2 linked regions of the Neurospora crassa OR74A genome follow. The protein of the gene in region 1 purifies or fractionates together with the protein of each later gene. This does not show direct contact. Links are inferred from orthologs where the notes say so. Each region holds a gene or a part of one and is shown in the gene's direction. Other genes may lie near its edges. The genes, in order: pex5 and pex10.

Region 1 (3,918 bases):
AACCGCAGCTACAACCGCGAGGGTGGCGACCGCAGCTACAACCGCGAGGGTGGCGACCGCAACTACAACCGCCGCGACCAGGGCGAGTCCACCGAGTTCTAAACTAACAAGCCGCAATCGAGGGCATGTAATGGTTACGACATGACTGGGTGAAGAGGATGGGAAACGGATGTAATGGAGGGCAAAACTGGGCAAGTTCGGTTTTCAAAAAAGAAAAGAGGCCGGTTGTGTTTCTTGACAAATGTTGCCAAAATTGGGGCACATTGGGATTGGGAAACTGTGGGATTGGTGTTGTGGCGCCTTTGCAGTACGATCACTCTGCGTACATCATCCTGACCTTTTGCTTGCAATGATACCTGTACAACTACGAAAAATCTTCTCTTCTTTCTTCTTACTGCGACTAGTTGTTTTCGTTTACCATTTTTTGTTGGTTATATCGCTGTACATATGTACGAATAGAGGGGTGGTCTTCTGTACCTTCTTTGCGTCCTGCATCCCGTATGCGTGACGTGACGATCTGCTCGAAACGCATCGTTTGATTGTTCATTTTCCCTTTCAACTTGCGTACATTGCCGTGCTGTCGGCATGCGAGTATGATTTCCGCACTCCGCTGTCGTCCGATTGTTCTCGGCTGTCGTTTGAAGGAACGAAGGGATCGATGATGGATCCGGGGGCGGGGGCGGGGGTGTACTCCACGGGCCGGGCTGGGGTTCGGCTCCATGTGAGGTGTGGTTGACAACACTCCATTGGCGGGGTTACCAGTAATAGCCGCGGCCAGGCAACAAGTGCCTGAGGTGTGGCCGGCAACTGCCACAGCCCAAAAAGACCTAACAAGAGCGCGGTGAGGTGGATATGATGGCTGGCTGAGGTGCCCTGGCTGCCTCGGCATTTCCAGCTGTTCAGGTGGCGCACGGCGGTGCCCCCCTTGTGCCCCTGAGTGACCTGAGCTTTTGGCGCCCAAGGTTCCAACTCACTTCAGATGCATGCAGAGCCCGATTTCTAACCACGCTGCTGCCATCCACACATGCCGGACCCAGACAACCCGCCCGTGCATCCGTGGGCTCCCGTCGTTACTTACAAGACAGCACACCTGCCACACATCCCGCGAGAGTCGGTCAACTTCTTTCTTTCACCTGGACAACTTCAGTTCTGGACACCGCCGCTTGATCACTAATTAATCAACTCCACGAGCTCACCACGCCCGTGCCTGGCTTGTTTGTTACTTCCACTTCTTTTTTTCTTTCCCTCTTCCAAACTAAAGTCATCCTTCCTTTGCCCTGCGCAAAAATCTACCTAGCTACCGCTACTTCCAGCCTGCCTCTACAACTTGCGCGGGCCGCTGCTTTCCCAACAGTCGACCGCATAGCGCTCTACTTCGTCTACCAGATAGTGTACAAGAGCCGCCCATCTTGTCTTCTGTCTTGGGCTTCGTTGTCAACTTTCGCCGAAACATCGCCATTGTCGCATTAATATCCAACATCTTCAAAATGTCTTTCATGGGTGGAGCCGAGTGTTCGACGGCGGGCAACCCGCTCAGTCAGTTTACCAAGCATGTTGGAGACGACAAGAGCCTCCAACATGACAGACTTGCCAACAGAGGTCCCAATGCTGCGGTTGGTGGCTTCCGGAGTATTAACCGCGGGCCTGGCCAAGATGAGGTAAGGAATCTTCATGGATATTGTTGACGGCAAGGCATGCGCTCTTGGCTGACATGACGATCCTCTCGAACAGATGGTGAACGGATTCCTAAACCAAACGCCGGAGATGGCTCATATGCCTCTCGAACAAGGACATATGCTTCACCTCGACCCGAGCCAAGGCGCCCACATGCGCGCCCCGAACGCCTCGCCAGCATGGGCTCAGGACTTCCACAACACACAGGCGGCTATGGAAGCCGCCTTCAATGCGCCGCCTGGCACTCAGTTCAGCGCCGATGAGTTTTCAAAGTTCCAGCAAATGCACCCCGCCGCGGCGCCGGCCACCGCCAGCCAGATGCCTGCTCAGCGCCCCATGATGGGTGGTGGCATGATGGGCATGGGCAACATGAACTACAACATGATGCAGCGACCCATGTACCAGCCCATGGTCGGCATGCACGGCCCTCAGATGCACAACATTCCCCAGCAACAACTACAGCCCGAGGGCAAGGGTAAGGGCAAAGTTGTTGAGCTCGACCAGAACAAGTGGGAAGAGCATTTTGCTCAGCTGGAGATCAATGGTGACGAGGCCCGCGCCATGGAGCCCGAGCTCAACAAGATGGACGAGGCGCTACTTCACTCCGAGACTGGTGCTGGCGATCTCGAATCCATCTGGCGCGGTATCCAGGCCGAAAGAGACGCCATGAAGGAGTTGGACGAGATTGATGTCCAGGACGACTTTGCCAAGTTCGACAGTGAGAACCTGGAAAAGGAAGATTGGACGCTGAACGGCAGGCTCGGCGCGGACCCTATCGTGCAAGAGTACCTCTTCGAGGAAGATAACCTCTTCAGGGAGACACCAAACCCATTCGAAGAGGGTATTCGTATCATGAAGGAGGGCGGGAACCTGTCGCTAGCTGCTCTGGCCTTCGAGGCTGCGGTCCAGAAGAACCCCGACCACACCGAGGCGTGGGTCTACCTCGGACAGACGCAAGCCCAGAACGAGAAGGAAGAAGCTGCCATCCGTGCTCTCGAGCGTGCCATGAAGCTCGACCCCAACAACCTCTCTGCTATGATGGGCCTAGCCGTCTCCTACACCAACGAGGGCTACGACAGCACCGCCTACCGCACGCTCGAGCGCTGGCTGTCGACCAAGTACCCCAGCGTCATCTCACCCAGTAACCTTTCCTCGGCCGCTGACATGGGCTTCACCGACCGCGCCCAGCTGCACGAGCGCGTCACCAACCTCTTCCTCGAGGCGGCCCGCCTCGCTCCCGATGGCGATCACATGGACCCCGACGTGCAGGTCGGCCTAGGCGTCCTGTTCTACGGCGCCGAGGACTACGACAAGGCCGTCGACTGCTTCCAGTCGGCGCTGCACTCGACCGAGCTCGGCACCTCCAACCAGCGCGAACAGATCCACCTGCTCTGGAACCGGCTGGGCGCCACTCTCGCCAACAGCGGCCGCTCCGAGGAGGCCATCGCCGCCTACGAAAAGGCCCTCGCCATTCACCCCAACTTTGTCCGCGCCCGCTACAACCTTGGCGTCTCGTGCATCAACATTGGCTGCCATGCTGAGGCCGCGGGTCACTTGCTCGCGGCGCTGGACATGCACAAGTCTGTAGAGAAGAGCGGACGCGAGAAGGCGCGCGAGCTGCTGGGCGGCAATGCGGGTGATAGCGACTCGCGTATCGATAACATGATGACGCAGAACAGGAGCACGACCCTTTACGACACTCTCCGTCGCGTGTTCACGCAGATGGGACGGAGGGATCTGGCGGAGAAGGTTACTACGGGCGTGGATCCCGAGATCTTCCGTGGTGAGTTTGATTTCTAGAGTGAGTCAGAGTTGGAGTTGAAAGAAGAGGCTCAGGAGTGGATGGTTGGGTATGACGCTATGGAGGATGTTTACTACGATGTTGATGTCGAAATGGAGAAGGCCTTGAAGGAGGAGCAGCAGTGGTGTGATGAGGACTTGGACGAGGGTTACTTGTCGAGTGAGGCGAGTACACTATGTTCGGATGATTATAGGGAGTTTTGGTGAATATACAAATATTAAGTACTGTACAAAGCGAATGTAGCTGGCTTGTCGGGGTTGTTAACAGCTTGTGTTGGGGAGTGAAAAGTCGAAGATGGGGCTTGGTGCTTTTCGGCTAGTGGTGAGTCTGGTTTTGCATTTGCTGGGTGTCGTGTGTTTCTTTCTTGCTTCACGATGGTGAGCGGAGAAAAGCGGATTGTGTTCACAGACACATACATAGATAGATACGATACATAGGCTTCT
Region 2 (3,427 bases), about 3.4 Mb from region 1:
CCATCCTTGGCCTCAGCCAAACCTCCCACACTGACGCGGCGCAGAGTTGCGAGTAGTCGACGTCGACCGGAGTGCGAAACAGACAGTCTTCGCAGGGGTAGCACGAAGAGGGCTGCGGTCACTGCCAAGTTGGTCATGGGAATCCAGTCATAGTCGATAACGCGTTTTGGATCGCGCCTGGTAAACGACCAAAATGTGAGAATCGAAACAGCGGAGCTTAGCGAAAGAAGAGTCGCAAGACGGTATGTCGAGTGGTGGTGAGGGAGCTGGGTTGGGCTCGATCTTCCTGGGTACCGGATTAAGGAGGGGACGTCGATCTTGCGATTATGGAGGAAGTGAAGGTTGAGGCCCCAGCCCCAAACAGCTAATCAACCAGAGATAGTCAGTTTACAACCGTGTATCCAGAGAGCAAACATACGGTAGGAAACTTGTATATACATACCTATGATCACGATGAAGGCAACCCGGTAGGGAAGGGGAAAGGTCAAGCTGAAGGAGTCGAGCTCCGGCTCAACCACGGGATCACCGTCCATTGCGCCAGGCAGCGGTCAATTTGCTGTCCGTCATGGAATGCGGAGAGGGAGAAGTAACAGTTGGACGCAAAGAAGAGTTGATAGGCTTGGGATCAAATTCCCAGCAGTAACGCGTTTGGAGTTTGTCAAGTGTCAAGATGGAAATTTTAATTTCATCTGTATTGTGGTAGCTGTCGCAAAGACACCGGAGTTGCCAAGCCCCTGTCGCGTGCACTCTTTTTGGCTTAGGGAGAAGACCCGACGTCAGTGCAACCCCTGGTCGCGGCCCCGTCCTGTGACAACCCGCTGCATCATCCCTGCCGCTAAAGCCTGGGCTACGACGTTCTGGGCACCCCCCTGCCAATTCCTCAGCTCGCTCCTTGTGAGGAGGAACCACGCCTGGGGCGGCGCCGGGCGTGCTGCCCCCATTAACCCCAAGGACCGAGGTCCATCCGTTCCCGACTACCACTTTCATCTCAGCTTCAACTGCCGCCTGTCGATCTCGAAACATCAAACAACAACTCGGATAATTTCAGATCGAAAAGACTTAATCATCCACTGCCACAGCTTCGACGATTCGACTGTAGGCATACGAGCTCTCCTAGGGTTCGAGAGTTCCCCCTGAATACGTCGACCGTGTAAACACAGCTTTTGACCCCCCCGACTTCGAGCCCACCCGACCCGACCCAAACGACGACATCAATTACCATGTCATTGACGGCCACCAAGAAGCCTCCTCCGCCGCTCACGAGCTCGCCATATCCATTCGCTGCAGCCCCCGACATTATCCGCGCGCATCAAAAAGATGCCTATTTCCAGGGCGTCCTCACTAACCAGCTGACCGACCTTCACCGGCGCGTTCGCGGTGCCCGCTCCGCCCACTCCTGGGCCACCGAAACCCGTACGGCTGCCGACCTGCTCTACCTATGCCTCACCACCCTCCTCGGCAACCGCACCTTAGGCGAGGAGTACTGCGACCTAGTCCAAGTCGAAGAGCCGAGTACGGGCGGCAACGGCAGGATACCAGACACCCAAAGCCCCGTCGAGCCCAGCAGCGAAGCCGGTGGCCCCCGTCTGCCCTCGCTCCAGCGACGAGCCGGCTACATCGTTAGTAGCGTTCTTGTCCCCTACCTTTTCAGCCGCCTGCTGCCCTCCATCCGCGCCGCGCTCCGCAAGCGCCTCCAGGACCGTCTCACCGTGCTTGCCCGCCAGGGCCGCGGCGACACCAAGGGCGCCACCCCATCTACCTCCAACAACAAGGGCGGTGGTTTCTCCACAGTGTCAACGCTTGAGTACCGCGTGAAGCGCTACCTGCTCACACACCTGACTTCCATCACCAGCGGCGCGCACCTGCACGCCTTGACGCTGGCCGTATTCTACTTTTCGGGTGCTTACTACTCTTTCTCCAAGCGCCTCTTCGGGCTGCGTTATGTGTTCACGCGGCGCATCGAGGAGGGTCAAGGCGGTCGCGCGGGCTATGAAGTGCTCGGCGTGCTGCTGGTGGTGCAGATGCTCGTCCGGGGATACCTGCATGTGACGGCGCAGCTGTCGTCAACTTCGCCGCTTAGTGCCGAGGAGGCCAGTACCGAGGCGAGCATTCGGGAGCGCGCCTTTGGGCCGGGCGCTGCGGGCACACTGGATGTGTCGTTAGATGAGAATGCCTATAGCAGCAATAACGAGTTGCTGGTGGAGACGGGCAAGTCGGGTAACCAGCGTAGTTTGGCGGAGATTGGACGGACGACGCACACCCCTGTGCCCAAGGGCGGGAGGGCGAACTACGACTTGGCGGCGAATGAGGAGGTCATGGGCTGGATCAAGGGGAGACAGCAGAGGATGTGCACGCTTTGCTTGGAAGAGCTGAAGGACCCGGCGGCGACCCAGTGCGGACATGTCTTCTGCTGGTCGTGTATTGGAGACTGGGTGCGCGAGAAGCCTGAGTGTCCGTTGTGCAGACGTGAGACGATGGTACAGCATATTCTGCCATTGAGGGTTGCTTAGAGCAGTCCTTTTCTGGCGGTCGGGGGGGACAAAATACTTAATATACGGGAGATATGACAAAAAGCAGGAGTCTTACAACGTCCTCTCGAGAACAGATTTTGGGTAGTATTTGCACATGACAAGGAGCGAACAGTCAACAACTGCGGTTTAGGGATAATTGTATATGCAGCAAGCATATTGCCAGGAGAGAGAGCCTGTTTTCGTACATAGCCTAATGATTGAATGATCCGACATATTCTCAAAAGGTCAGGAACTTTTGACAAGCTAATGCACATATGTTCAAGTATGAAATTGAATTATTCCTTGTCCGATATTAATATTTGGTATTTACTCTACAAAAACTTCTCTTGCTTGATTAATATCGAGTCTCGTCCCGTTTGGGTCTTAATCAAGACCCGAGCAACCTCGACATAGGTCCAAAGGGTCATGAAATACATACACGAGGTGCGAAAGAGAAAATATGACACCTCAATGAAAGCCTCAAGTTCCGACCCATCTTCAAGCATCAAGCCACCAAGGTCGTGGTTGTCGTACTTGTGCTTCGCTGTCCCCCAACAGCTCGTAATCGTGGACGCTTTCGCGTCATCAAGATCGTGGGCACATCATATGCCTCCCCTTCAACAGAAAGACCCATTTACCGTATGGAATGAGGAGAGAGCGACGGCGCGGATTTCGTTGTCGAATCGAGCTATTTCTTTTCGGGGTCTCCTGAGGAAACCCTTTGGATGAATTCTGCGATGGCTTCAAAGTAGCCTTCTTCGAGGACACTCGAGTTATGGTCGCCGTTGGGAAGAGGCTTCCAGATCTTTATCGGAGCGTTGGAGAGATGATAAAGCTGCTTCATATGAGTGGGTCTAAGATGCGGGTGATGGAATTAGCGGACAGCTCTCATGCAACCCAACCGGCCACAACCACAG

The links.
Region 2: the proteins of pex5 (region 1) and pex10 purify together in Saccharomyces cerevisiae (affinity purification with western blotting; 3 studies listed by BioGRID). This does not show direct contact. The link is inferred for Neurospora crassa OR74A from reciprocal best matches to the Saccharomyces cerevisiae genes PEX5 and PEX10.

Annotation. Positions count from the first base shown.
Region 1 is NC_026501.1:8,571,147-8,575,064, reverse strand, and holds the start of pex5 (peroxisomal targeting signal receptor), read left to right. Parts: upstream 1-946; 5' UTR 947-1,487; coding exon 1,488-1,658; intron 1,659-1,731; coding exon 1,732-3,474; 3' UTR 3,475-3,918. Other genes in the region: NCU16466 (nucleic acid-binding protein), read left to right, coding at 1-102. UniProt on the Saccharomyces cerevisiae protein: Receptor that mediates peroxisomal import of proteins containing a C-terminal PTS1-type tripeptide peroxisomal targeting signal (SKL-type).
Region 2 is NC_026501.1:5,159,043-5,162,469, reverse strand, and holds pex10 (RING-1), read left to right. Parts: upstream 1-947; 5' UTR 948-1,220; coding exon 1,221-2,510; 3' UTR 2,511-2,844; downstream 2,845-3,427. Other genes in the region: NCU03278 (protein-ER retention protein), read right to left, coding at 1-364, 443-533; bem46 family protein, read right to left, coding at 3,199-3,364. UniProt on the Saccharomyces cerevisiae protein: E3 ubiquitin-protein ligase component of a retrotranslocation channel required for peroxisome organization by mediating export of the PEX5 receptor from peroxisomes to the cytosol, thereby promoting PEX5 recycling.